Rhinolophus ferrumequinum: one gene and its partners. The protein of the gene in region 1 binds, or shares a complex with, the protein of each later gene. Links are inferred from orthologs where the notes say so. Each region holds a gene or a part of one and is shown in the gene's direction. Other genes may lie near its edges. The genes, in order: bromodomain-containing protein 8, VPS72, ANP32E and ING3.

Evidence for each region.
Region 2: bromodomain-containing protein 8 (region 1) and VPS72 share a complex: the UniProt entries of both Homo sapiens proteins name them as parts of the nuA4-related complex. The link is inferred for Rhinolophus ferrumequinum from reciprocal best matches to the Homo sapiens genes BRD8 and VPS72.
Region 3: bromodomain-containing protein 8 (region 1) and ANP32E share a complex: the UniProt entries of both Homo sapiens proteins name them as parts of the SWR1-like complex. The link is inferred for Rhinolophus ferrumequinum from reciprocal best matches to the Homo sapiens genes BRD8 and ANP32E.
Region 4: bromodomain-containing protein 8 (region 1) and ING3 share a complex: the UniProt entries of both Homo sapiens proteins name them as parts of the SWR1-like complex. The link is inferred for Rhinolophus ferrumequinum from reciprocal best matches to the Homo sapiens genes BRD8 and ING3.

The regions. Positions count from the first base shown.
Region 1 is NC_046307.1:13,324,633-13,332,301, reverse strand, and holds the start of bromodomain-containing protein 8, read left to right. Parts: upstream 1-4,651; 5' UTR 4,652-4,781; coding exon 4,782-4,800; intron 4,801-5,640; coding exon 5,641-5,737; intron 5,738-7,669. UniProt on the Homo sapiens protein: May act as a coactivator during transcriptional activation by hormone-activated nuclear receptors (NR). Isoform 2 stimulates transcriptional activation by AR/DHTR, ESR1/NR3A1, RXRA/NR2B1 and THRB/ERBA2.
Region 2 is NC_046305.1:51,233,137-51,239,972, reverse strand, and holds the start of VPS72 (vacuolar protein sorting-associated protein 72 homolog), read left to right. Parts: upstream 1-3,831; 5' UTR 3,832-3,931; coding exon 3,932-4,048; intron 4,049-6,836. Other genes in the region: PIP5K1A (phosphatidylinositol 4-phosphate 5-kinase type-1 alpha), read right to left, coding at 1-73. UniProt on the Homo sapiens protein: Deposition-and-exchange histone chaperone specific for H2AZ1, specifically chaperones H2AZ1 and deposits it into nucleosomes.
Region 3 is NC_046305.1:50,609,263-50,617,242, reverse strand, and holds the start of ANP32E (acidic leucine-rich nuclear phosphoprotein 32 family member E), read left to right. Parts: upstream 1-4,969; 5' UTR 4,970-5,334; coding exon 5,335-5,388; intron 5,389-7,118; exon of another isoform or gene 7,119-7,262; intron 7,263-7,980. UniProt on the Homo sapiens protein: Histone chaperone that specifically mediates the genome-wide removal of histone H2A.Z/H2AZ1 from the nucleosome: removes H2A.Z/H2AZ1 from its normal sites of deposition, especially from enhancer and insulator regions.
Region 4 is NC_046309.1:22,924,839-22,931,991, reverse strand, and holds the start of ING3 (inhibitor of growth protein 3), read left to right. Parts: upstream 1-4,141; 5' UTR 4,142-4,279; coding exon 4,280-4,307; intron 4,308-4,549; coding exon 4,550-4,621; intron 4,622-7,153. UniProt on the Homo sapiens protein: Component of the NuA4 histone acetyltransferase (HAT) complex which is involved in transcriptional activation of select genes principally by acetylation of nucleosomal histones H4 and H2A.

The DNA.
Region 1 (7,669 bases):
GTGCTGGCAAAGCTCTGGTTTTTACGACCCACTTTCAGGAGTTTCCAGGCCTCCTCAGCATTCTGAACATGAATCCAATTGAGATCTGAGACCAAGGAGAGAAGAACATACATAAGATGGGAGCACCTAACCTTTCCTGGTCTCCCAAAATCCCTTCCAGGGTTCATGGCCAGCCTCCCTGCTTTCCCATACCTTTCACGTAGGGATTGCCATTCTGATCCTCACATAGCCGCAGAGTTGCCTCTTGCGCTGCTGGCTAGGTGGTTCTAACAGGTCATAAAGCAGTTTCATTGTAGATCTCAAAGAAGGAAATCCAGATGGAAGAAGCGAATGTCTGCAGGGACACTTATGGGGCAGTGTCTGGCTGTGCCCATCGGTGACTTGTTTCTGGGGAAGAAGCAAATGTACAGGATAGAGTAGTCCACCTTCCCTTTGGCCTGCAGGGGCCTCCGCAGGCAGAGCTCAGGTTGCAACCTCTGACCTGTACCCCTGGCAGCTGTTGCGAGCAGGGAGTGGGTTTCTATTATTACTTGGCATAGAGCCCAGTCATGGTACGTACCATCTAGCTGGCTACTGCTGGTAAACTGACTGGAGGAGGAGAGCCCAGCAATGCCACTGTCAAAGCTGGTGCTAGTACCCGCCCGACTTTCAATGTAGACACTCCTCTTCAAGGAGGTAGACAGCTCCTCCTGAGGGGCCGAGGGAGAAAATAAGTACAAAACTTTCCAGAGACTTATCCCCCATCCCCTCATTTGTGGACACTAATACTTTACCTCTTGGAGGCTTCCATTTAGTAGGGCCAGTTTCTTTATTTCCTCTTGCCGGATCTGCTTGCTGTCAAGCCAGATTACCTCGTTGGAGAGCAAGGGCTTCAGATCAGGTATTGGATGAAGTTGGCCTTGGACACTATTGAAGATCAGAGCCAGGGACCGGGGCAGGATCCCTCCATCCTTGGCAGTACCTGGAAGCATGTGAAAGATGGATAGCTGAGGTAAGTGCCTTTCTCCCTCAGCTGGCAGCACCAGAAAGCAAAGACAATACAGTGGTACCTCGGTTTTCGAACATAATCCATTTCAAAGACTATTCGAGTTCTGAAACGTTCGAAAACCAAGGCATGGGTTCCCCATAGAAAATAATGCAAAATGGATTAATCCATTCCAGACCTTTAAAATCAACCCCTAAAACTGCAAATTAAGCATGAATTTTACTATCTAATGATACCATAAGTGCATAAAATTTACGGCGTTCGTAAACCGAAATGTTCGTCAATGGAGACGTTCGAACCGAGGTACCACTGTATCATTACAGGTCAATCAGCAATCCTGGAGGACCTATTACTCACCTTGAATAGTGTGGGTTTTCCCTGAGTTGGTGACTCCGTATGTGTAGATAAGCCAGTTCTGCCCTTTGAGTACGTCCTTTACCATCTCCTTCACAGTCATGTTGAAGAAGGATGATTGTCCGACTTCTGGCCCAAAGATCTAGAGACAGACCCAATTTCTCAGAGGCCCATCCTTCATCTCCCACTTGCCTCCTGTGCAGAGCTAGCAGATGCATCTCTTCCTAGGTGGTTGGCTCTGGACAATACTCAAGCAGCTTCATCCTGCAGAGCTGCCAGCTGCTCCCTAAGCACTGAGGACTCAACCAGTCCATTTTCATCTAAATTAACAAATACTTAAGAAGTGCTCTCAACTAAGTCCAATGCTACACAAAAAATGGGCAACATAATAGTCACAAGCATGGGATTTGGAGATAGATGGATCTATTAGGTTGGTGCAAAAGTAATTGCGGTTTAAAAGGTTAAAAATAATTGCAAAAACTGCAATTACTTTTGCACCAACCTAATAGAGTCAAGTCTTTACTACTGACTAGCTACATGGCTTTAGCAACATTACCTTCACTGAGCCACAGTATCCTTGTTAGGAAAATCGGGACAATAATGAAAATAATAGAGTTGTGACTTAATGCACATAAAGTACTTGTCACACTGACTAGCTTATAACAAGGGTCCCCCAATATATAGACATGCACATATAAGGAGTTAACAATCAAATAAAAACTTCCCTTCTAAAGGGAATAAAGCTGCCCTACATGTTGGTCCCTTGTCCACAACCAGTACCTCCATACCTGGGAGAAGGTGAACTTGTGGGTGGCTTGGCCAATTCCCGCTCATTGCTCTTCTGGGCAAAGGAGTCTTTGGGTGCCTGTAGAACAAGGGTCTCCACATTCTCAATACGGACACAACCCTGAGAAGGGGGAGAAAACAGTTGACACAGAAGGAAACATTCCTGGAAACCTTCTGTACTGCATCATTCAGCTTGAATCCTCCTCCTCAGACACTCACCTGATCCTCTTGCCGTTCTAATTCTGAAGGTAACAAGGGCCTGACCCTCAGGTATACTTTCACCTTCTCCGTATCCTCAGATGGAACCTATGCAGAATTCCAGGGCGGAACTACTAGATTAATCTCAGCAGTTATCTCTGAGCAGATGGGCAAGCATAAGCAGTTCCTAAGAATCATGCTAACGCTACCCTCATTCCACCTCAAATGTCTCCGCAGCAGCTACACTTTTGTTCCATAATCATTCCAACTCACATGGACTTTTTCACTACTTTATCACCTTCCTGTCTCTTCAGTATCCTGCAAAACCTTGGCTTGCCACATCATCTGAGTTAGAAATGGTTGACTGGGATGAAAATCAGCATATGATATTCCAGTAGTTAAGCACCATGGAGGCAGGACACACTTGAATTGAGTCCAAATCCCATCATTTAGTAACTATGAGAAACTTGAACAAGTTCTTTGAATTCTTTGCCTTACTTTCCTCATCTGTAGATGGGCTTAATAACAGCACCCACCTCATTCTTTCAACAGATACTTAGAGATCTGCCTACTATGGCCCAGGAACTCTAAGAGGCTCTGGTAGTCCACAGTGAGGGACACTATCAAGGCTTCTGCTCTCATGAAACTTTCTCTATAAAAGAGGAGCTTTCCGAAGTAGAGTTGTTCTCAAATCAAGGCCATTTCCCTCCCAAGGAATATTTAGCAATGTCAGGACAGGTTTCTTGGTTGTTACAAAAGGGAAGGTGCTGACATTTAGGGGTAGAGGCCAGGAGTGCTGCTAAACATCTTACAATGCACAGGACAGATCCCTATAACAAATAATTATCTGGTCCCAAGTGTCAATAATGAGAAACCCCAGCCTAGCAGAAAGACTCCACAAATAGAAGCTACAGTTGATACTAAAGCCTGACTGTACATTCCACCTACTTAATGGAAGTATGATCTGGTGTCTGGGCCTCGTGGTGAAGGAGAAATAACCATCATCCTTCCCTCGTAGGATTAACTGATAATATGCACTTGAGTGATTTCATTAATGCAATGCAAACAACAGTTCTTATAGACAACAATTCTACATTTTTTACTTGTCATGCTCTTAATTTTGAATTGATCTCTTAGACCCTTTAGTAGCTAGTGACCTTATACTACTTTCAGTATAGACAACTAGTAGGCTGAGGATATCACTTTTTGCCCCCAAGCCACTCTCCAACTCCTTTACCTGCTGCTTGTCCTCCAGGGAGGTGGAGATGACAGAGCAGTCTGACAGCAGGTTCTTGCGTACCACAGATCCCAAATCTGCAGCTGTAGACTCAAACATGGGGGAGACTACGACCTCCTCATCCGACAGCAAGCCCGCTGGCGGAGAAAGGATCCCTTGCGACATGACAGCAGGGGGAGCTTAGGTCTAAAAAGAGACAAGAGTGGGTAGGGAGGAGGACCTTAAGGGACAGAGAGGCTGAAAATTCTAGGTAAGAAACAATTCCCTTGCCCCAGAACACTTTGGTTTCTGCCTGAATCCCTACTTCCTCTCCCTTCAACTACCAGAGGGGAAGGGGATAAGAGAAGGAGTTAGTCATTTAATCCAGTCTGAGGTGGCATTTCGACCTCTAACAGGAATGAACAGATACGGCTCTAAAAGCAGGTCATGTTCCAAGTAGGGTTGCCTCGCCTACCCGTGTTGTGGAGGTGGTGTCAGTAGCCCTAGGCTCCTTCTCCAGCCTCGCCCCAGGCCCACAGTGAGGACAGAGGTATTAAGAAAAAAGGAATGGCGGCAGCTCGGCTTTCTGAAAGCCTATTCAATGAGGGCAAGAATTAATACCCCAGCTGGGCTCCAGCACAGTCGCACACTCACCTGAAGACGAGACACTTATTCCTCCTTTGGTACCAGCCCACTCACACACCGACGCGGAACCCGGGTTTTGGCGGTAGGAGAGCACAACTTCCCCCACGAAGTGTACCTTTGTTACTGATACAATGTTTTAAATTACGCGCTGCGTTCGTTCCGCCAATCAGACAGCGAAGACTGCAGTTACCAATCAGCACAAGGAAAGGGGGCAGGCGAGACTGGAAGAAACTTTATTCCGGTTTGACCTCTCAACTCTAAAGTGGGTCCGGGTTACCAACTGTTGGAGTTTGGGGTTGGGGCACTTGGAATTCCCGCTTAACACTTTTTCTTGAACCGTAGGCATTTCTTTGCTAAAAACCCTAAAGGAAGTCCTGAGGCTTCAGCCGCCATCCTCTGTCCTTCTTTAGCACATTCCTTCCCAGGAGCGCAAAAGAGAATTGGTTTACGGGGCTTGTTTTACTTGGGGTGGAGGGTGGGGACTACATTTCCCAGGAAGCAGCGCAAGCAAACGCCCGGACTCTATTGCCCAGAGTCCTCCGGGTTTCCGCCTTACCAGGCCGTCTTTCCTCGAGGGTTGGAGACTTCGAGGCCAAGATGGCGGCAGGAACGGGCAGTAAGTATCTGCGCTGCTTTTGCGTGGAAGGCCTTTGTAGAGCCGAGGCCAGGCATTAGATTTCTGTCACACGCTTAGGGAGTAGGAGAAATGATTTGCCAGAGAGCCCATGGTCTTCAGCGACCTGCGCTCGTCGGCGTTGTGAAGGCCAATGTTTGGGGGCGTCCGGAACTGTAGGGTTTTGTTTCTCAGGGAGGCCGCGGAGATTTGAGAGAAGCAGCTCAGCGAATCCTTGTATGTTTGGGAGCGGTATGGGGTGAGCGACAAAGGTGCTCTGGAAGACTCGGGCGTGCAGACGAAGACGTGTTGTGAGCCGTACGGAGCGGCCCACATATCCGAGAGCCATTCATATTCTGACCAACGTTTGTGAGGCCTGTACCCTGTCTCCCACAGAAATGGGATATTTTAACCAAGAGCCCTTTCTGCCACTGGGGAAATTGCGTTTCTTGCATCTCAGCCATTTTCCTCGGTTTCATGGATTGAAAATGTCTTTTAGGCCCGACGACTAAAGTGGGGGTGGGGGGTGGTGAATTGCTGAAACAAGTAAACAAGTTTATGCTAAGAAGGAGGCGGGGCAGTAGGGCAGTGGCCGCTGGGAATCATGGGGAAAAAACCCTTGCGTTCAAATGGGGATAAAGTATGTGCGTATTCTTAAAACTGGACCATTGGGAAGTACAGCTTTATTTTAAATCTGACATCTGAGGTGAAAAATCAAGATTTGATGATAGTAGCTCACTTTGTCCGTACGAATTGGGATGTTTTGTATTAGGTGTTTAGGTCTCCCTTTGGGGCTTAGAACTAGTGTCTCAGTGGTTGCCTTTAAGCCCTCTCTCCTTTCAGAACACAAGCTGCTGAGTACTGGCCCCACAGAACCATGGTCCATCCGAGAGAAGCTGTGTTTAGCGTCTTCTGTCATGAGGAGTGGAGATCAAAATTGGTAATGTATCTAGGATGCCTGATTTCTTGGGTCTTTGAAACTGTTGGGGTTTTTTTATAATAGTGGAAGCTTATGGTTAATCATACTACCTTTAGGCACTACTACTTTTAACAGCTTTATTGAGATATAATTCACAGACTATAAAATTAGCCCAGTAGATTCGCAGAATTTAGTATATTCACAGAGTTGTGCAACCATCAGTCACTCTACAATCTCCTCTCCACCTTGCTTAATCACTCATCTACTTTCTCTTTCTAGATTGCCTATTCTGGACATTTTATATAAATGAAATCTTGATAAGTACATAACTGTATGGGTGTGCTGCGTTTTGTTTATCCATTCATCAGTTGATGAACATTTGGGTTGTTTCCACTTTGTTGACTATTATAATTAATCCTGCTATGAACATTTATGTATGAGGTTTTGTGCTGACATGTTTTCTAGTCTCTGAATTAAAAGAGTGGAATTGCTGGGTCATATGGTAAGTCTGTGTTTAACTTTTTGAGGAACTGCAAAAAGTGGCCCCACAATTTTACAATCCCACCAGCAATGAATGAGGGCCCAATTTCTCTGTATGTTAAACAACATGATTGTCTTTTTGATTATAGCCATACTAGTGGATATGAAATATATCATTGTGGTTTTGATGTGCATTTTCCTCACGACTAATGTTGTTGAGCATCTTTTCATGTATTTTTTAGTCATTTGTGTATCTACTTTGGAGAAAGGTCTGCTCAGATCCTTTGGATTACTTATTTTTATTACTTAGTTTTCAGAATTCTTTATATATTATCTGACATACATCCCTTGTCAGATAATTTGAAAATATTTCTCCTGTTTTGTGTGTCTTTTCACATTCTTGATTGGTATCGTTGAGAGCACAGAAGTTTTTAATTTTGACTTGTCCAATTTTTTCTTTTTGCTTGTGCTTTGGTGTCATAGCTAAGAAACAATTTATTTTTATGTTTTCTAAGAGCTTTATAGTTTGAGCTCTACACATTTAGATCTTTGATCCATTTTGAGGTAATTTTGTGTATATTCCAAAGCAGGGGTCTCTTTTGCGTGTAGATATCCACTGTCCCAGTACCCAGTATTTGTTGAAAAGACTATTCTTTGCCTATTGAATTGTCTTGACACTCCAATATTTATTTTTTTTAACTTTTATTTATTTAAGTGTGGTTTTCCAGGACCCATCACTTCCAAGTCAAGTAGTCGTTTCAATCTAGTTGTGGAGGGTGCAGCTCACAGTGGCCCATGCGGGGATCGAACTAGCAACCCTGGTGTTACGAGGATCGCGCTCTACCCAGCTGAGCTAACCGGCTGCCCCCCAATATTTCTTTTTAAGTACCAGATATTTCTTTTTAAGTACCAGATAGTAAGTTTCCAATCTTTTTTGCTATCAGGACATATATTCTTTTTCATTTTTAACATTTTTCTCTCCCCCCCACCCCTCTTCTAAGGATCTAAGGACACTTTTTAATTGTTTTAAGCCTTATAATTACTTAATGTACACATTGCTTTTATATGGTGTATCTCTACTTCTTTAACCATTCAGATGAGTTTCCAAATCACCATTACTGGTCACAGTTAGCATTTCTGCGACTTTACATATGTACGAAATAACTTTTCAAAGATGAAACCAGGATATTCTAGATAGCAGCTGTTCTTGAGTCAAAATAAATGGTAAACCCCAAGAAAAAATGAATCACACTAATTTGATAAATCTCAGATTGTACTTAAATATATCAACTCAAATACAGAGGATATTAAAAAAAATGTATACACATTTTAGGAAAGAAAGAAATTTGTTAAAATTGTAATATTCAATATATACTGATAAAAGATGAATACAAGTCATGTGTATACGTTTTTTGGGCACCCCCCCATTATAAACTGAACTCTTTTAAACAAACCAACCAGGTTAAGTTGGTT
Region 2 (6,836 bases), on another chromosome or scaffold:
AGGTGCAGCCAGGAACCCCGGAATCCACCGACGAAAACCCGCCCGACGACGGCCCAGAGGAGGCCGACGCCATCTTGGCAGCCCCCTCCCCCTCACGGCCTCGCTCCCCTTCAATCCGGTTCTTCCTCTTCTCGGAGTCGAATCTTCCCCACGTCTCTTCACAGAACCCGCGTTCTGCGGGCCCCCTCCCGCCCCCTCCCGGGCCTCTCTCAGACACGTCGGGCCGGCTCCTGGACCAGCTCAGGGACACACCATTCCGCGGGCATGGGGGACGACCCGCGTCTCGCACCCTCTCGGCAACTTGAACCGCTTTCCGCCAGAGCTACTTTACCCTTTCACAAGAGAGTAGGCTCAAGCCGGCGGCCGGGACCACACGTCCCGACCAAATCACACGTAAAGGAATAAGGGGGCGTGAGAAGTCCCCGCGGAGCGAGCGCCCCTTCCCCCTCCTCCCTAGTCACACAGCCTGTTTATCGCCCAACTCCACCGCTCCGGGCGGCCAGTGAAATCCAGGCACTGCGCATGCGCCCAGCCTTCCCAGCGTTCCAGCCCACTCAGTGGGGGGGGAGGGAGGACCCGAGAGGGTCACAGCCAATCCGGAGGCCGCGACTAGTTACGTGACGCAGGTCCCTCGGGCCCTAACGAATCCAAGGATTGAAGACGTGCGCGCCCCGGGGCGCAGACTGCCCCGACGGTGGCTCGGTGGGTCCATTTCCATTCGGCTCTTTGAAAGGACTGGGTTGCGTCGCCTGAGATAGGGATGAGAGTCGGCTTGGCGGGCCCTGTCAATTTCACAGCCCAGGGAAGAACTCCCGATAGAAGCGCCAGGGGCAAGTCGGAGAGGTTAAGCAGTCGACTATCGCAAAATATCACATGCCACCAAGCATTCTTTCAGCTTTACTGCTTTGTTTACTATTTAGTTTAACGTGCGTGCATGTCGTGTCCTGCCTTCCTCTGAATGACTTTCGAAACAGATCTTACACTTCGTTGGCCTCAAACGCAATGCTGGGCACAGTGACAGAGTTCAGTAAATATGATAAATGATGACCTGTCAAAAAGGAAAGTGATCAAACCATATCACAATCTTCCCGTGCTCTGAGCCCTTGGCCTCTAACTCTCGTTTATCTGTGCTCCAAAAGGGATGGAAGATACACAGAGCATATCCCCATTTTAGTCTTCGTACCTACTCAGTTTTAACAAAGTGCCCTGGAGGATGTGAACTCGGTTGGAGATTGAAGACCTGACTGTGTCTCTCTGAAGAGATTAAACTGCTGGAGAGCAACCAGTTTGATTTACCCTTGTATCTTCAGCTCCTCTCTTGATGTGGCTCTGTACATATAGTAGGGGCTCTTTCATTATTGTGGAATGAATAAATGAAGGAAAATGGAAAAAAAATCCTAGGTTTGGTAGACCCTAAGATGGCCTGGTTTATCCTCTATCCGGATATATTCTGGGTCTTCAAAAGGGAACCTAGGACCTGACCAGGCAGAGACTATCCCCAGGCATTGACCTTTCTACCTTCTACCCCTCCAGCGTCAAGATGTAAAATAATTGTTTCCCTGCTGCCACCTGCTGGATTATTCATTCTCCTTTGGGTACTGAGATGATTGGATTGCCATTTGTAATTCCAAAGCAGAGGAATTGTGTAGTGTTGAAGTATTTTATGATTGCCTACATCTATACCCCCCACCCAATTAAACAGTACAAAAAATAGACAGGTGTGGGCACACCATCTAGCATACGATTTGGCTAATAGGCATTCAATAAATATTTGTTGAATAAATTATCCTTGTTTCCATAAAAGGCATGGAGTTGCTATCATTTCTGGAGTTATTTTAGAAATCAGCCGGTGTAGAGATAAAGCTGTTTCTGATTTTTAAATTGGAAATAGTCAAATAATTGACTTACCAGGAGGTCAAATGGGGTTTTCTCCCTGGGATTGGATCTATGAAATTTATTTCAGCCTTCCGGAAAAAAGAGATCCATCCTTATTTTGCAGCTTCTTAGGGGTCTTTGTTTCTCCTTTCTATACCAGAAAATGGCTACTGTTACTTCTACCACCTTGTATTATGTCAGTCTGTTAACTTGTTGGTTTCCCTCATAACACTGTGAACATTTCAGGGCAAAGACTACATCTTATCTATTTTTATATCTCAAGGATCTAGAGTAGTGCCTGGCACAGAGTAGGTGCCCAACACATGTCTCTTGACTATATGAATGAATGAAGGCAACATTTAAAGTTGGGCTAGGGGTGTCTCCCATCTTTTCTCCCCAAACCTTGTCTCTGCCCCCACTCCCACTCAATCCCCAGGATGCTCTGAGTCATGGAGCCACTCTGCCCAGTAACATTCCGGGCATAGCAGGTCTTCAATGATGTGGCAGGGTGTGGAAGGAGGGGCAGAGCAGGACATGTTGGCTTGCTGCCTCCAAGGAAACGGAAAAGGGAGTTCACCAATATATACTTTGGAAAAGGGGGACAATTTCGTGATCTCAAAATATGGCTACGAATACAGATTTGAAGGAAATAGAGCACACACACACACTCACACACCAGCTTTATTAAAGTGACCTTCATATCTTTGAACAGTTCCTAAGGTCAGAATGGATGGGCTAGGGGCTGCCAAGATCAACACAGAGGCAAAATAAGAGGATGGTTACCTAATTTATTCAAACAGCCCTTCATTAATTCATTCGTTAAAATTATTTAGTCCCACTATGAGAGTTTCCTGGCATACACAGATGAAGATAAAGTCCCTACCCTCAAAAAGATCATAGACTAATGAGAGAGACAGAAACATAAATCATTAGAATAAAATGTAATAGGTGCCGTCTTGGAGTGTGTGCATGTGCTATGGTTTGACAACCATACTTTCAGAATAAAAAAATGGGAAGAGAAGTTGATACAGAGGCTTAGACAATACCACAGACTCTTTGAGATTGGAACTATTCTAGAGAATCAAGGAGGTATGATCTCCATGATTATGAGAACTGTTCTAGGAAAAGGAATGAGTGTGCAAGAAGACTTCACTGGTCTGTACAATTAGAATTTTGCCAGATAGACAGGAAAAGAAAGGGATTCTAAGAAGAAGGAAAAGCAGGAGACATGGCAGAGAATTGGGTGTTAGGGAAGTGAAGCTAGAATAGGATGATGTGTCAGGAGATGAGGCTAGAAAGGCAGGAAGATGCTATTAACAAATTATGAAGGCTCTTAAATGCCATATTTGCCATAGTTATCACCTACTAAACACCTATGAGCTCACTAAATACAGTGCCAAGCAGTTTAAAAGGATTATATCTCTTAATCTTCTTAACAACATTCCAAAGTAGGTGTTATTATTACTAGTCCTACTTTACAGATGAAAAAACTGACATTCAGAGGGATAAAGCAACTTGTCCAAAGTCACACAGCTAGAAGACCTAAGTTCAAACTCATACTCAGGTCCGGCTGATTCTAAGGCTCTACCTTTAACCACACTACTATTCCGCCTTAAGGACTTTATCCTGTATATAACGTCCATTAAAGACGTTTGAGCAGAAGAGTGACAAAATCTCGGTTTTTAGAAAGGTTCCTACTAGCAGAGTGGAAAACGGACTGGAGCAGAATGAGACTGACCTCTTCTAAATGAAAATTTGTTGACTCCCAAATTTGGACTTAGAGTAGTGGGGCTCTTGGTGTCACCGAGTCGAATCATTCCATAGGCAAGGTCTGCGCGCAGGTCAGGGAGCTTGGGGGCGGTGTATGAGCAGGAGTGGGCGGGGCTGGCCTAGGGGGCGGGACTAGGAGCCCCTCGACGCTCTGCTGCTTCTGCCTGCAGACGACCGATTTCCGCCGCCGCCGCCTGCCCCCCGCAGGTAGTGGTGTCGAGCGCCGAGCCCCGAGAACCGCGCTGGGTGAGGGGCCGCTGGTGGCGGCGCAGTCTCGGTAGGCGTTATGAGTTTGGCTGGGGGCCGGGCCCCTCGGAAGACCGCGGGGAACCGGCTTTCTGGGCTCCTGGAGGCAGAGGAGGAAGATGAGTTCTACCAGACGACTTATGGGGGTTTCACGGAGGCAAGAGCTGGGCCCAGGAAGAGGGAGGGAAGAAAGCTAAGAGGAGTCTTGAAGGGAGAAACCTCGGACAAAGAAGGGGGCGGGGAATAGACCGGAGCCTTGTCAGTTGATACTCGAGACGGAGTGGGCGAGTCGGGGGGATGCATAGGAGTCCTAGACGGGGCAGGAAGAGAGGAGCTCTCTGGGGCACCCCGGAGTATGGCAGAAACCCACTGTGTTCCTATTCCTCTAGTGGCATCTCTCAGCGCGCTTCTGCTGTCTGGCACGCGACAGGCACTTCGTAGACATGCGGTATATCCTCGTCGGCCCACTGCTGATTTTGCATCTGAAGTATAGAAAGAAGCTTCCCCCCAAAGTAGGCTTAGCCTATTCCTTTTCCAGCTTTCAAACCTCAGTGTAAACGTCTCCTAAGATAATCCTTCCTTGACTGCCCTAAAAAGTGTCCTCATTTATTTCCTTCATGGAACGTATTTCTCTTTGTAATTAGGTTTGCTTAGCTTGTTTATACTTTCCTATTAGTTTGTAAGTGCTGTGAGGTTAGAGATAGTCTGTTTTGTTCAACAGTATGCAACCCAGTGCCTGGCCCAGTGTCCGGATTGGCTTGGCACTCGTGAGATCTGTATTGATTGAACCTATCCGTCCTTTAAATATGTGCTGAGTACCTACAGCTGTGGTAAACCCTCTGGGAACTATTAAAAACACGGTTTTGTCCTTCTGTATTCCAGACCCCAGTGGGCGACCTCGCTGGGTTAACAGTCAGTTAAAATAGTGTGTGATAAGGGAAGCATAAGGTGCCATGGTAACACATGTGAGCCAGAGTTGTTGGTCGAGATGGGTATCTCTGCGGGACATGATGTTTAAGCTGAGGACAGTGTGACAAGTAGGCCGTGGCTGGAGGAAGAGCAGTAGGCCTGGGAGCCCGGAGGAGAAAGGTTAGTCCAGGGAGTTACATGTTTGTGGCACTGGCCTGGAACCTACACATCTACTCTGATTCTCCAGACCATGAAGGAGAATAAAATTGGCAAGAATGGAGGGTGAGGCATAGGCCAAATTGTGTAGGGCCTTGTGACTGTTAAGGAATTTTGCTCTTCATCAGAGGACTGAGAAGATGATCAGATTGGTACTTTAGAAGCTTGCTCTGTGATGAGGAGAATGGTTTGAAAGAGGCAGTGTGAGCAGAGACCCATGGACAGGAGGGTTCAAGAGAAATCAAGGCAACAGAATCCACAGGACTTGGTGACTGATGGAGAGTCATTACGTACATAGCCCTAACCAGCTAGTTTAAAATAGAACTTTCTCATCCCTCTTCCAAAAGCCATTTTCCTATTCCTGTCATTTTACGAGTCGTTATTTAATATGTACCCATCATGCTTCCAAAAAGGATTTAAGGAGGCTTACGATATAAACAAAAAGTAGGAACAGCAAAAATAGAGACACATCAGAAGTAATTGTACCAGGAGCCTTTGCTGAAATGGTCCTAGCAATTGATATTAAATTTAGCTGTGAGTTTCCTGGCAGTCAAACCCTGAATTTCTTTTTTAGTAAGAAAGAAGCATATAAGTTCTTTAAGAGACACAGATTTATTCAGCATTCAATCCTAGGGAGAATCGCATCCTTATATAAGACGTATAGAGTAACGGGTTTGGTAGGTGATGTAAAAACATTGTCTTACCTAGTCATGTCTATTAATGACCCTCGATGAAAGCCAAAGGAACGGTAGTAAATCCGTAACCGAGTGAAAGCATTTCCATTAGGCCCTAAGCTAATGTGTAGTTGACCTCCTAGACTGTGGTGAGATGACTTAATACCAGGTTAGAGCTGAGGGGATTAGCGTGTTCCCAGGCTGTTCCCCAGACATCACTTGGGAGGAAATGATGGTCATCCGTGCAAGATAGAACTCCGGCTGGCTTGGAGTGTCAGCTGTCTCTTATTTGCTTGGTTTGGCAGCGTGTGTGCAAAGATTAGCCCATTAGCCTGCATCACTGTTTGAAGAGAGAGCCACGTGTTTGAGGTGCCGCCCCACCCAGTCGACTTGCCTGCCCCCACTGTTTTCTTGTGCTTTCCTTTCCAACGTGGCTGCCATCTAGCCCTAATCTGCATCACCGCAAGTCTAGGCTGTACTCCATGTTCTCTACTCCAGCCCATTTAATCACCTCCAGAGCTTTCTACAACACGCCGCACCCACAGTTTCCCTCTGCCCTCAAATCTTCAGTGGTTCCCCACTATACATCGTAGTAGTACCCAACTGTTGTTTTTTTGTCCCAACACACCTGAGGAATGAGACCTGTATCTCAGTGATGAGACATATTTGTCAGTGACTTTAGTTTGCTTCAACAGTGATTATCAACGCTGGGACAAGTAAGGAGAGGGAGAGGATTGAGAAGCACCGGCCTGCAAGTTAAAATCATGTTTCTTAGCCTGACATTTAAGTTTCTCTATAGATTGAGTGCAACCTTCCTTTCAAATCTTACAGACCTATAGGACAATCTATTAATGTTGAGAGGAGGCTGTGTTGAAGCCAAAGGCAGTCAGCTAGGGAGACTCCTTGCCAGAGATAAAGCTGCTTTACTTGGGTCTAAATGCTTATTCCGTGAACGTGCCATCCACAGTCCTGCTTTGTTGCCGCTATTCCATCTGCCCACGGTTCCCTCTTCCCTCTTGCCTGTCTAAATACTACCAGTATTTTACAACATGGCCCAAGCTCTCTTCATTCTTGACACTCTAATGCAGGGTTCAGCAAACGACACACCACTGGACAGATCTGGCTCATTACCTGTTCTGATATGGC
Region 3 (7,980 bases), on another chromosome or scaffold:
AAGGGACCGGCCAGGTGGCTCAAGTGGTGGGAGCGCTGTGCTTCTCCTGCCGAGGTCTTGGGTTCGATTCCCACATGGGCCAGTGAGCTGCACCCTCTGGAGCTAAGCTGCCATGAGCTGGGCTGCCGTGGGCTACCGTGTGAGAAGCTGGTTACAACAACGGCTTTAATAGGAGTGGGGAGTGGGAGGCGGAGGGGGGTGGCGCAAGAAGGGGGGAAAAAGAAGACTCAAGAAAGAATCTGTGAACTTAAGATATATAAATAGGTCAATAGAAATTCTCACCTTGAGAAGGAAAATAAATAAACAAAAAACCAGAACATATAATAACTATAGTGCAGTATTGAAAGGTGTAATGTATATGTAATTTGAATAACAAAGGATAAGAAAGAAAATGTAACAGGAATATTTGAAGGATTAGTAGCTAAGAACTTTCCAAACATTAATTATATAAAGCAAACCAGGAACCTAGAAACACAGAGGACATCCAGCAAAGATAAATTCAACCCAACCAACTAACCAACCAACCAAAAACCACTTTGATACGCCATATTCAGACTATAGAAATCTGAACAACAACAACAAAACTTGAAGGAAGCCAGAAAAATCCTAGAATTCTATATTCAATGACAATTATCCTTCAGAAGTGAAAAGAAAATGGCTTCGTTGAAAATCAAAAATTGAAGGAATTCATTGTTAGTAAACCTGCCTTAACAGAAATAAATTCTTCAGACAGCTGTAAAATGATATAGACCAAAAACGTACAGGAGAAGGAATAAACGAAAGAACAAATAAGATGTGAGTAATCATGTATGGAAGCTTGTTGACTGGTAGACTGATGGTGAGGAGATGGCACAGATATCTGGCTACTTTCTACCATTTTGTGAGTATTTCTGGACTTGTCTCAGGCTGATCAGTTTCTTTAGAGAGGAAGCCTCTAACCTTTTACCTGAAGGCACACCCCACTTTAAGATGCATGGAGGAGACAATGGGGTTGGTTTGGGAGAGTTCTCATTGGTTGAAATACAGATTTTCAACTTTTCTGCCAGTTTTCATTACATCTAGCCTGGTACATGTAGGAATGATTTCTGGTGGTTCCAAATCATTTTGAATTCTGGAGAAAGTGTGTTGGCATTAGTTGCACTGCCATAGATTTGTCTTGAGACTGCAAATTAACTAGTTTGGAAAAGGGAAAGGTTAAAAAGTTAGGAGAAAGAACAGTCTGGAGTTATCCTTCACTCTCACTCCATCACCTGTTCCCCAAAAAGGCATCAACCAACCTCTATATTTCCTAATGGAAGTGTGGAATTAAACTGCCAACTGAGCGTTATTTGGTACATAATCAATTACTAAACATGAGTACCCACTGTGTGCTCAGCACTGTGCCAAGTACTGAGAGAAAACCAAGCTACGGACTTGGTTTCTCTCTAGGAAATTTCAGTGAGTTTGGGCGAACCAGAATTAAATGACATGTAGAAGATGTGGCTAGGCAGCTCAGGGCAAACGCTGGGTGAATAGAACATTTAATAAGTCTTACGAATTTGGAGAAGGTTAAATGGTTTTGGTTAAGGTAGAAGAACAGCATAAGCAACGCTAGAAAGAGCAGAATGCCTATGACTTGTATGGAACAAAATGGCTCTGGTGAGACTTGATCAGAAAAATTGTTCTAGGGACTTGTTCCAGTTACTATTGCTGCATAACAAACAACTCCAAATTTAGAGGCTCAAAACAGTAATGATCATTTTATTACCTCTCATGGTTTCTGTGAACAGAAATTTGGAAAGAGCTCAGCTGGGTGGTTCTGGCTCAGGATTTCTTATGTGGTTGCAATTAGACAGTGGCTGGAGCTGGAAAAGTAGGGGGAGGAGAAGCTGGGGGCTGGGTGGGTACCTCTCATTCTCTTCACAGAGGCTTCTCCCTGTGATCTCTCCTATACGTTAGTTTGGGCTTCCTCAGGGGGTAGATCTTTGGAGAGGGCCATTGTCTCATGTTGGGTTCCTCAGGAAGTAGACTCTGAGATGAAAATAGCATTCAGAACATTTATTGGGGGGATGATATTGGATTCAATATCTGTGGAAGAGAGGAGAAGAAAGCTGGATGAAGCAGTGGGAGAAAGTGAATGGCAATGCAGGCCCCTGGGGGTGCTCTGGAGCGCTGATGAATGACCCCTCAGAGTTAGTCTAAGTTGGGGCAAAGGGCTGGCCGGGCCTGTATATCTCTGTGTTGAAGGAGGTCTAACCCTGGGCAAGGCACTTTTCTTCAGCTGAGGTAACCCCCTACAAGGGCCGACAGCGGAAGGTCATCCCGGCACTGAGGGGAATCAGTTCTTCATTCCTGAAGGAAAATCTGGGTCGTGCATTTCCGTGTCCACCACAGCCCTGACTAGATCGGTGGCTTTCAGTAGAGGCCCTCCTGTAACAACCTGCCACTGAGAAAGTTGGGGGGTGAATACTCCAACCTCACTCCCCTTCAACCCCCCCCCCCCACCCGTCTCCTGCCAGCCCTCTCCCCCGCCCCCAAACCCAGCAAGTCATAGGACTCGGTGGGGTTTTGAGTCACAGAGTGAAGAGTGGATCTGGCGGGCAACAGAAGATATTCTGCAGCAGAAGATGAGTTTAGTTTTTGAAACTTAAAGACACATCGAGTTAAAGAATATCCTGGTGAACGCTTCTTATTGGTGGATCAAAGGCATGTTCTGAACCACCCTCTTACTCATTCCACTCCTTGCTCCTTTGCTTTCATACCACCTCCTGATTACTGAACCTCACTCTTGGTTCTAACATTTAAACCCTGCCTCATTACTTCCTTTTAAAACACGTTCTAGTTCATGAGTTCGGATTTTCTCCTGACTGCATTTCATTCTTTCATCCCTCATTTAGTTCCATATGTCCATGTACTAGCCTGGTAACGTTCTTCATCCAACCTCTTCTCAGTCCTATGGGGAATCTCTCCTCCCCCAGCATCTTGTTTATCCTGTCTTCTTGATTAAGATTGGAAACAGGTAAGTTCCAAGGTCTTGAGGTAATGCAGATGAGAGATGATATAAAGGCGGGGACACTAGGTACGGGGAGAAAGGCCCACTTTGGTAGACCTTTGTCTGTGCTTACTATGGTGTACTTTCGGAAGCTGCTAGCCAACGGTAAAACGAATTCATGGCCTTTCCTCACATTTAGTATTTCCAGCACCCTCTCCATTCTGTCTAATGTATTCCGATACAGAAGCCCTACCATTTAACCCCAATAATCACCTCTTGTTGAAACTCTGTCTTCCATACATTTTTCTCCCCAAATTCACCTCCTTATTTATTACCTGTTTCTTTGACTATTTTGGTAGACAATCCCTGTCTTCTCTTTTTCCCCTCAACCATGTTTTACTCTCTTTTGCCTGATAGTCTTATATACATGCTTTGTGGGCGTCTTATTTTTTTTCTCATGGCCTCAACTATCACTCGTATCTGGATGACTCCTAAGTCTGTATGTACTCCTTCCCAGAACTCTCTTTGGGATGCCATTCCAGAGTTCCAGACTCTGCAGTGGCGGTGGGATCAGAACACAGGACTTCTTCTCAAGCTGGTACTAAAATGGGCTTTCAGGTTTCTTTTTAGCCCTTTTTTTCCTTCCCTTGTTTTTCAACTCTTCCTTGAAATGTTCCTTAATCCATTTTGCTTTAGTTTTTATATCATCCTCACTTCCTTTAGCTTGATTAAAACTAACAAACTTAACTAACTCCAAATCGCCCCCTAGAGATGTTATTTCATTCCAAAAGCTTTCCCTCTCCCTGTTTTCCTCTTCACAAAATTTCCTTTCCAGGGAATTCAAAGGAAACAGCAAGGAGAAGGCAATGATTATTTTGTTTTCCTTTAAAGTAGTTAACATGCTAAATACTAAATATTTATATTTTAAGCATAATCCTATTTGAGGAGCTGTGTGTCTCTGTAGGGGGGCAGGAGGCGTGGTGGTGGAGTGGTTAGGAGTCTGTTGGTAAAACCTAAGGTCTCCAACCTGAGAAACTGGAAAAATAGCAAATACTCAGCTCTGAGAGGGGTTAGACTAATTCACCCACTTCCTTCCCCACATTATATGGACTGTCTTTGGGTATTTATCCTGATAATGGTGTAAGAGAATAAAAAGGACAGAATTTAATCAAGAGCTAAGAAAAGTTAGGCTCTCAAGACAAAAATTTTAAAAATGATTCTTACCCTGCTCTTTTCTATCCCACATTGACAGACTTTTAAAAGCACATTTTATCTGTAGACTTTCATGGAAACCAACCAAAGGGAAATTGGAGAGGTACTGCAGTACTATTTATATGCGAATCGATGTCTCATTTTCATTAGACCGGTACTGTTTTTCCTCCAAGGTCTTATTGTTCATTACAGCAACAACTACCTCAGTAACAATTTGTTTAAAGGTGCCTAACTTATACTTCACACAACTGCTTTCAGTCCTTCGTGGGTGGAAGTTAAAATACCGTCTTTATTTCGGCTTTGGTTTTGGACCAGAAGCCTGTCCCCAGCAGGGCAGTGTCACGAAGGCATGCTTTTTATATGACGTGCACGTTGCTGTGCACCTTGGCGGCAAAGCAGGAGCTGTGCGTGCTGAGTTACCAGTATCGCAACTTGGGCACGTAAGAAGTATGCTTTCTGCCTGTAACACTAAAAACAGAAAAACAAAACCAAACCCAAAAACAAATCAAACAGGCATCAAAACCGCCCTCGTGCCTAGGGAAAGCGCGCCAACCACACAAAGAAAAGGAGGGGGGCTACTGGGATTCAAAATCATTTCTTCCGGACGAACACCCTCCTGGACCTATCGGAGTTAACTGCGCGCTTGGTCGTAGCCAATAGACACAGCGTTTCTGGTTCAGGTCCGCCCTCAAGACTGATAGACATTTGTGTAGTCCAATGGAATAGTGTGATGCTGAAGAAGTAACCAATACATTCGGGAGGTGGGTGGAGTGTAGGCCAGGGGGTTGGCGGTGCCGTGTCATGGAGGCTCAGTCTCGGAGCAGCCATTGAAGGGGAAGGAACTGCGGGTGTGTGTGTGTGAGTGTGTGTGAGAGTGAGTGTGTGTGTGTGTGTGTGAGTGCGCGCGCGCGTGTGAGTGCGCGCACGAGTGTGTGGACAAGGAGGTGGGGGCAGCCGAGTTAGAGTCCCAACTCCTTGGACTCCATTTGCTATTCTCTTTCTCCCCCACACCTATCTGGTGGTGGTGGGCGTTTATATTTGCGTTTCTTTTCATTCATTTCCAAACCTTTTACAATTTGAGGGTTGGGGGTAGCAGGAAAGGCAGGGCAGGGTAAGGGAGGAGAGTAATAGCAGAAGAGCAGGAGGAGGACATGGAGATGAAGAAGAGGATTAACCTGGAGTTAAGGAACAGAGCCCCGGAGGAGGTGAGATGACTCAGCCCCCTCCCCTTCCCCTCCAGCTCTGTATTCGGGGAATCGGGTTTCGGGGGGTCCGGGTGGGTGTGTAGGGAGGGGTAATTTATCAACCCCAACGTGGGGTTAGGGTCGGGGGGAAATATTTAATTTGAAGTTTTAAATCATTAAAATCTTTTACTTAAAATGGCGAAGGGTTCAAGTTTCTAGGGGCGTTTTTGTGTGTGCATGGGGGCTTAGTCCCTTTCACCTCTCTTGGAGTCGGGCGTCTTGGCCTCGTGGGGGCGGGAAGCAGGGTGCTGGGGGGCCCTCCGCTCCCCAAGTTCCTCCTCCTGGGGGCGGGAGGCGTGGGCGCGACCCCCCAGTCCCACTCGCCCCTGCCGCAGCCATCGTTGCCTGAGAAGTTAGTCCAACTTTTCTTCAGTGCTGCTAACAACTTTTTTTTTTGGGGGGGCCGCCCCCGGCCTCAAGGCCCCTGGGCGTCGGGCGCGGGCTGGGGTCGCTCAGGGAGCCGGCGACCACCCGCTGCCGGCGGCGCCCACTCCCCCGGGAAGGGCGCGCGCCGACCGCCGCCAGGCGGAATCTGGGTCAGCGGCCGGCTGTCCGGCCGCGGGTAAGTTTTGGGACCCGTCGCAGTAATCGGAGGTGGGGAGGGGACTCGAGGCGTCATCCCCTTCGTCCCCCCGCGAGGTAACGAAATTCGGCGGGTCGTATCATGTCGTGGTGGCCGCAACTCCGAATTTGATCCCTGGAAACGGTTTCACAGAACTCAACAAATGGGTCGTGGTAGTTGTGTGCTTTAAAGATGGGTTCGGCGAAACTAAATGATGCGCGCTCGCTGCTGTCGCTTTAGTTAAAGAGACGGGGTTGGGAGGGGCCACGTGAGGCGGGGTCGCGGTCGACTTTTCGGGGGTCGGGCGGGAGGCGTTTCCGCCTCCTTTCTGAGGGCGCCTCCTCTGCTTCACCCAGCCCTTCCCGTCCCGGGCGGAGGCGCCTGGGGAACGGCGGCTGGAGGGCGACCCCTATTTTCCTTGGGGAGTCCCCGCCCCGTGTGGGGTTTCCCGTCGGTCAGAGCGGCAGGTCGCCAGAGTGGGGCCGGTGACCAGCGAGGAACCTCACACTTCTAATCGCAGAGGCGAGCGCCTAGAGTCTTGCTAATTGCGGCCTCTGAGTTAAACCCCAGAATTGGCATATCAGGGATATAATTGTTTTCGACTTGGGTGGAGGCGGTGCCTGTGCATAGCAGCATAGAGGATGAGAAGTAGGGTCTGCCCAGTGAGCCGAGTGGGAACCCAAGATCTTTATGTGCTTAAAAAAAAGTTTCCCAGAAATTGGCAGGAGCAGGCAGGAGGAAACAGTCGCTATCATACCAGAGAAAGCTTGAAGTTTTCTAGGCCCTACCCTTTAGGGGCTTCAGAAAGAACAAAACTGAAAAGGCTGTCTCTCAGAAGCACACATTTAGAATGCTTTTTTATGTCTTCGTTTGGAAAAGTGGATTCCCCCTGCCCCATTCTTTTACCCACCCCATCGTGGTATCTTCCTTGCCAGTTTTGGGGAGTGCCACGCGTTGCTTTTTTGCAGCCTCTCCTTCCTCCCCTGTGGTGTAATAACGGTCTCTTGTATTTGCATAGCTCTTTACAGTTTACAAAGAGCACTTTCCGTGTTTGTTATTCACTTTCCTCCTTGAGACAAACATGTAAGGTGGATTGTATTGTTCTAGAATCCAAATTAATGGAGTCTCAGGGCCTGCAGTTATTTACTCAAGTGGAAGAACTGGTTTTCTGACACCAAATCTAGTGGCCCTCTCGCCTTCACTCAGCTAGACCAGGAGTCAGAAGACTTAAAAGAGTGGAGGCCCAGCTCTGCCACATACTGTGTGACACCAGGCAAGTCATTCTCATCCTCTGGGCCTCGGCTTCCTCATCTCCAAACAGATCATGATGCCATCTGTGCTCATTGAAGTCATTATGTCAGTCATTTTCAAACAGAGAAGGTGGCATTCCTTGTTGCTAATTTTTAGCCCTGAAAATACTTCAAACATAGTTTTGCATTGGGAATGGAGAGTCAGGGTCTCCTGCCCCTCTCTCCCTTGCTTAAGTCCATTTAGGCCCACACCAGAAAGTTTTGTTTTACAACTCTGACCTAATAGAGAGGATCCAGCCCCTCCCCACCAAGAATGGGGTGAAGTCCACAAAAATGCTACCAGGATGGCAGGGAGAAACAATAACATTTTGTCAAGGATGTATTGTTCTGGGTGAACTGTTTGGCCTGATACTAGAAGAGTTAACATCTGAAAGCTGGGCTGTCTCAGAAGGAGCTTCTAACATTTCTTCACGAAGGGTAACAAGAAAATTTTGAGTTATGGGGGCATTTATCAACCAAAGATAAGGGGGTTTAAACTAAAACAGTTTCCTTTCTTCTCCCTACTGTTTCAGGAAAGCTCCCTTGCATCCTTTTCCAGGAGCCCAGGTACTAAATAGGCCCTGATGTTGAGAATCCTTCTCATCAGGGGCACATGGGACCTTTTTCAAAGTTGTATTTTTTATGCATCAGTGATTTGAAGCAGGCATTAAGCTTCTTAGTCCAAGTTTAAATTTAAAAGGT
Region 4 (7,153 bases), on another chromosome or scaffold:
CAAGACTCAACAGTAAAGGCCTATAAACACTCTGGTTCTTTTAGCTCCAACGTGGAGTTTACTGTTTATTTCTGGCACCTGGGATATTTTTCTCTTGGTTTCAAGCTTTTTTCTTATATGTCTTCCAGAATTTCCATTTATTTTGAAGGAAAGATTTTGTGATGGCTTCATATCCAGTTATCCATCCTTTCTCAATATGCCACCCACTAAACCCTATATAACAACCGCCTCTGTAAAATCTCCTTAACTCTCCACCCCTTAGTCACTTGTCTTCTTTCCCTTTGTCCTCTTCTCCATATTCTTTGTCACAAACACCCAGGAGCCAGGTCTGCAAAGTACAGCCTTCCTTAGAGACGTCTCTTTAGTGGGTATGAGGAGTAGAAAAGCCTGGAACATTCATAGATATGTAAAGTGAAGGCTGTTATCCTGCTGCTTATAACTGATCCAGTGAGTGACTCAATGGACTTTTAAAATGTAAAATTAGAGCGGTTCATGTAAAGACCGCATTTTTTCTTTCTTCCCATGTTTTAGAGGTCTGTCAGAGAGGATACACTGCCTGGCACAAAGTTAAGAACATATTTCATTTCAAAGTTTTACGAGAATATTCAAAGTTTTGAATATTTTCAATAGGAAAGTGGCAGAACCTTAAGACGTAAAGCCAAGGTTTCCCCTGAGGAGATGCTATATGAAGGATTTCAATTTTCCTTTCTCTTGGACTCTTAGTAACACTCATATTTTGCATCCACGTTTTGCATCTGTTCCCTACATTCTGATTCCTCCTCCTTAGCCAGTAGCCCTCAGTGCAGTACTCTTACGGAGCCTCCCTGGATCATTTCTCCGTTGAATGGAGTATGACAGTGGCGATACAACTGTTGTACGTGAGATAATCTTCAGTGGGTCTAGGAGGAGTCCAGCCTCAGAATGACCAGGGGCACAAGGCAAAGCTCAGAGCAGCACGAAGGAGCATTTGAATATGGGTAACTGAGGAGGGGACTTCATGGCATTAATGAGGATGGTACTAGAAGCTGACATTTATTGTGTCGTGACACTCACCATACTTGAACCTAAGTGCTCTGCATAGATGATATCATTTCAATCTAACACACCTATGATTTAGCTACTATTGCTATTTCCAGCTTACAGATCAGGAAATGGAGGCCAAGAGTGTGAAAATAACTTTCTGGAGGTGATACAACTAATGTTAGAGAAGGTGACAGAGAAAGGGGAAAAAATCCAAGGAAGAAAACCTAGAGCTGCTCTGGTAGATCTCAGCACAGCAGCCTGTGGACCACACGATGTATTGTGCTGCAATGAATGCAGTTCTGCCACAGCGCCGTCAGTCTCCACGTCTCCACATTCCAGTTTCAGATCAAAAGAGAGTGCATCTAGTATGCCCAGCTTTGATCTGTCCCTGTTAAATTAATGCATTATGATCAGGGAGCACAGTAATGTAACAGATATGGTCACTCCTGTATATGAGGGGCCTGGCCCAGAAAGGCAGTAGTGGGTGTTAAGTAAGTAGACACTCCAAGTGCTATCTACTATCTGACCTAATGATGTAAGAAGCTATCACACGTGTGTACATACACAATTTTCTGCAGCTGATACAGGGTCCAAGAATAAGAATTACATTAACTAAAATATGTAGTGTTTAGTTTTGTTATTTGTTTAGTTTCTCTACAGTGTGTATGCATGTTCACTGAATTGGGAACCATCTATTATCTCATTTTCCTTAGTATGAAAAACTCCCTGAAGCAGCTCAGTTTACACTGAAAGGATGGACTTCCATTTCTTTTATTTCTGACAGAATTGCATGTTAGCTACTCTGATTGAGCCACCTGCTGAAAACAAAAAATGCTGGGTTAAAAAAAAATCAAATACATTGATGAACTGATAGGAAATGAAGGAATGCTCAGAGGGGGAAAATCAAAAAAGAAGGAATAAAAATGAGAAGAAAATCCTGAGAAATGAGGGAGGGTCAATGTGACTTTTGCCACGAGATTATCAGTCAAATTCTGGGCACCTTGAATTCCTGCTTTAATAGCTGTGCAGATGCCAGGGTCAGGAAATAAAGCCAAGGACCCATGAAAAAGGAGGAGTCTAATAAGAGACAAAACTCTGGGGCCCAAAGGATTACATTCCCAGTGTAAGAGTGATTGAGAAAGAAACCTGATGGTCAGTAAGGAAACACGCCCATCTTGACCTTGGAACTTGGGAAAGGAAGAAGTCTCCCGAGAATCTATAAAATCTGTTCAGATTTGAGACCCAAATTCAATCTATTTGTGCAATCCAATAAACCGGAAGTGGAGAACTTCATCTGGTTCTAGGGTTTATGGTGTCTCCAGGCAACTTGCTGAAGCAAATTTTAATACTCTTTAGGAAAACTCCCTTTTTACTCGGGCCTCAATGAATCCCCATAGTTACCAGCCCAGAAACATGCATGCAGAGTCCAAAATCACAACCTGCACCGAAACAGGCACCATAAGCAAAAGCTTGAAGAAACAGCAGGCAGCACAAAAGACCCATAAAATTCTCAGCATTGAATTTCACAGACACAGAATATAGATTATGCTTAATTTGTATAAGAAATTAGAAAATGACTCAGAAAGAGAACCAAAAAGAACTTCTAAAAATGAAGTGTTTGAAGACTTCCAGGTGGACCATATAGAAAAAAGTTTAAGAGAAACAGAGGCTCTCTATCTTAGAGGTATCCTATAGATACAACGGTTGAGAATTTTCTACAATTGTTGCAGGACACTAATACTGAGATTCAGGAATCTTCTCAAATACTCAGTATGGTTTTAAAAAAAAAAGGAAAGAAAAAGAGAGGGGGAGGGAGGGCTGGAGGAAAGGAGGGAGAGAAGGAGGAAGGAAGGAATCATATCTGTATTGATCATTGTGAAACTGCGACAATATCAGAGATCTTAAAAGCAGCCAGAAGGAAGGAGAGGGAGGGTGGGAGGAAAACTTAAGGCACTGATTTTAGATAAAAGTATAGAAACTAAATGATGTCATCGTTATTAGGGTTAAGTTTTCTCTGGGGTTCATTAATATGACAGGTAAGTATCCTGATTAAGAGCGGTGAAAAAGTCTTGAGAACAAGAAAATGTAAAGGCGGGGTGAAGCAGGTAACACAAATGCAGTGTTTCAACTCCAATGAAAAATATAAATAGAACATTAAATTATGAACTAAAGACAAGTATCCCCGAAACCCGAAGAGAGTTAAGTGGAAAATAACACCCAACCTGTACTGAGTGTCAACGTAGTTAAGACAGAGAAAAACTAAGCAGTGAAGGACTATGTCACGGGTGAACATTCGCGGGGAGGAGTCAAAAGGTAGAAAAAGACAACGCACAGGACTACAGACGTCTAACAAAGGCTATTTACTCAACATAATCTAAAGTTATTGCTAGCACAGCCCATTCACTATTAAGGCTCTATCCGTTATTTCTGCTTGCTCGGTATTTGTTGTTTTGCGGGTGCAGGTTGTACGTATAGATTCATTCCATTAGCGTGACGAGACGGACCGCAACATAGAATATGAGGCTATTGAGGACTATTTTTGCATATTTTAATATGGGAAATACATATTCACTCCATGCTTAAAATAAATTGTTACGTGGAAGCCAACCAGGCGTCCCACTTGTATTTTTAGGATTGGATAGTGAGGATAAATTCTAGCAGCGAGTTCTGTTTGAAACAGTACAAATTGCCCGAACTTTGCTGAATATTCTAGCGCTAGAACCTTTGCTATTTTGCTAGCACTACTTGAAATCCAGACTCAAATGCCGGGGCATGGAATCACAGCAGTAAAGAACAGGTGAAAAGTTGTTCCTAGTTGTGTTACGCAGGCGCATACAACTCCCGTCATGCCCCGTGCAAAAATCAACAAATAAACAGAGGCACCGCATTTCAGATTCCGTTACGCACCGTTCGCTGTGGCGTCTGGTTTTTGTAGTTTCCATGTGAAGAACTGACAGCGTGTTCACTTTTGCTAGGGAGGGAATAGAACTACAGTTCCCACAACAGCGCGGGGGCGGGCTACGGTAGGCTGACGTCATTGCTTCAGCCAACCAATGACAGCTCCGGGCGGCAGTGAGGCAAGCGCCGTCAGGCGCCAAAGTGGTTTTTTTCTCTTTTCTTTTTTTTTTTTTCCCTGCCGAAGCCGAGCGGGCGCTGCTAGCGGAGGCGCCATATTGGAAGGGACAAAACTCCGGCGACAGCGAGTGACACAAATAAACCCCTGGACCCCCTCGTTCCCCCAGCTCTAAAGGCCGCGATGTTGTACCTAGAGGACTATCTGGAAAGTGAGTGGGCGGCGCTGGCGGGGGCCGTCTGTGGGACCTGCGGGCGGGCGAGAGCGCGAGTGGACGGGCGGGATGGCGGGAGGGAGGGGGAGGCGGGGGATGTTTCTTTCTCACGGTAACTGGCAGCCTCGCTGTGGGCTGCCGGCTCCCTCGACCCCCCCCGACGCACGCACGCACGCAGTGACGTAGGCGCGTACTTTCGCCGTTGGCCTCGCCCCTCTGACGGATTCTCCCTTTGGCAGTGATTGAGCAGCTTCCAATGGACCTGCGGGACCGCTTCACTGAGATGCGCGAGATGGACCTGCAGGTGCAGAGTAAGTCGGCGCGTTTACCCTGGTTTGCTGCGCGCGTCAGTGTCAGACTGACTTGCCTTCGACTGCAGCCCCTCAGCTGTTGACTCTCCTGCAGCTCACTGGCTGGGAGTACATAGGAGTTGTCAAAAGGAACTTGCAGTTTGGAATCTTGCCGCCTCTTGCCTCCCAGGCTACTTTTCTCCTGGCTTTTACAAGGGGGAGACATGAGAGCACGTGTGTTCTTTTCTCGAATTTGGGAACGGGCCATACACGTTCCGATACCTTCATGGAGAATGTAGATACATGTTTTAATGCACAGCAGCATAAATGTTGAAATTCTGGCTTTGAACCTTTATGTAGAGAACATAGATTTTAGCATTTGCACTTTTACAGTTCATTCTGTTGAAACATTTTCAAGAGCAGAAAACATCGAAACACTGGTTACATGCCTTTTTTTAGACCCTGGAGTGTCAAATTTGAAGAGTTCGGATACATTGTAGGATACACTCTCTGTTGTCAACAGTATGATATTTTTGTCATTCAAAATGAGTGCAGGAAATAGGATTTTACTGTAAAGCTTCCTGTCTGCTGTAATAAAAATTCTGGCTTTTCTTCTGTCAGTGATAGCTTGACTTTTTCCCAGAACTCACTTGACTTTTTGTAGAGCAGTATTTGGTTTATATGATCATTTTCTTCTGTGAAGTTTCTGAAAAGGGTTTATGATTCAGAGAATGTATGGAATCAGAGCATTTGGAGACAAGAAGGTAAATACTTAGAGTAAACTTATACTTAAAACAAGGAAACACTGAGGAGTACCAGATTTGTGTTCATGTTTTGAAAAAAACCTCACTCGTAAACCTTCTGCCTTTGTGGTGTGAATATAATTTATTTCAACTACCTTGTACAGATATTTAAAATTAAGAATGTGAAATGAATTTTACATAATTAAAATATATAATCAAGGGTACTTTTTTGGCTGTGTGTCACTCCCTTGAAGAAATGTAGGTATCTTAATTAAATTATTTAAATAATAATAATGACTGGCCTTCGTGGGGTATATCCACAGGAGATATGTTTCTTGATCCCATTTATTCCAGCTATGTTTAAGCTATACATAAAATGTTTCTCATGCTGTCAGGTTTTCTTCTTAGAGAAGCAGGGGTGGAGGAATATCTGGGTTTTGGAGTGTGATAGGGAGGAAAGGAGTATCATGAAAAGAGATCAGAGAACCAAACATTCCAGAATGTGGGAGTCTTGACCTAGCTAAGAGCTTGTTGTTTTCTCCCCCTTGCTTCACTGCCTTCCCCACACACATCCATACCTTTGTATGTGAATATACTTTCCCAGATTCTTGTCAGTTTCATGTAGCACATAATACAATGTAATATAATATTGAGAGCCACCTTCTTTTATTCAGTGGATCGCAGTGTGGGAGTCTGAATTGGGTGTTTCTCCAGCTTGCTCTCCAAGTTCATTTTAACTTGAAGGTAGTTGAAATGCTAAAGATTTGCTAAAGTAGTAGTGTTATCTACAGGTTTGAGCACAGATTGTTAATGTCAGTCAGATCTGAGTGCATTTCAGGGCTCTACTGACTTACAGACCTTACATCACCACTTCTGAGGGGTTTTCATCATCTGTAAAATGAGAATCATCTGAGGATTAAAAATAATACAGATAAATTAGTACCTGGTACAAAATAGGCATTCAATAAAGGGTTACTTTTTTTATCCCTTTTCATTATTACAAATTTTAAATTTTCTTGCGTTTTGGACTTAGATTATGTAAATTAGAGGTTTTTTAAACTTGTATTTTTTTAATAGTAATTAGAATTTTCTAAATTTAATAGGTATTATGTATTAACAAAAGATCTCTGTGTCAAGTAAGTTAGGAATGCTTATTTAAACAAAGGAAAATACTTTTAAAATATTAACCATAAGACTTCTCAGAATCTTTAAAGACCTATTACTAACTGAAAATCTCCAAGAGAAGGATATAACAGAAAGCTTTTCCTCAATTTATGTAACAACAGAATTCATTTTATTTTTCCTTTTTTAGCATACATGGAATGAGATGACTATTCTTGGCACACATTTAAGGAAAATCTATATAGAATAAATAATATAGTGTATTAAGTAAATAAATGATTGTAGCTACTACTTTCAACATGATATGAGATTATGGAGGTGTTTAAGGCCATATAGCAAGAGGTTAAAAATCTTTTTATCACTTTTTCTTATTAAAAGAAATGTGCCAATTGTCTAGCGGTGCTTTCAGTAAGAAATTGTGTTTGGCACATTTGGCTGATTTAATACCATTAGTTTTTGACCCTGAGGTTGTACTATTCAGAATCTACTTTGACTATTGGAAAAAGTTTTGAAATAACAACAAAAATAAATGTTCTATAGGGAAAATTGTAACTATTTTTTTATGAAGGTAATTAAGGCATTGTATATTTGCATAATTAAAGCATGACATATTTAAGTTAGTGACCAAGTGAAAGAGTGTATGTTATCAGATAATTGTTTCTTTCGCCAAGTCAAAGCATGTATATTC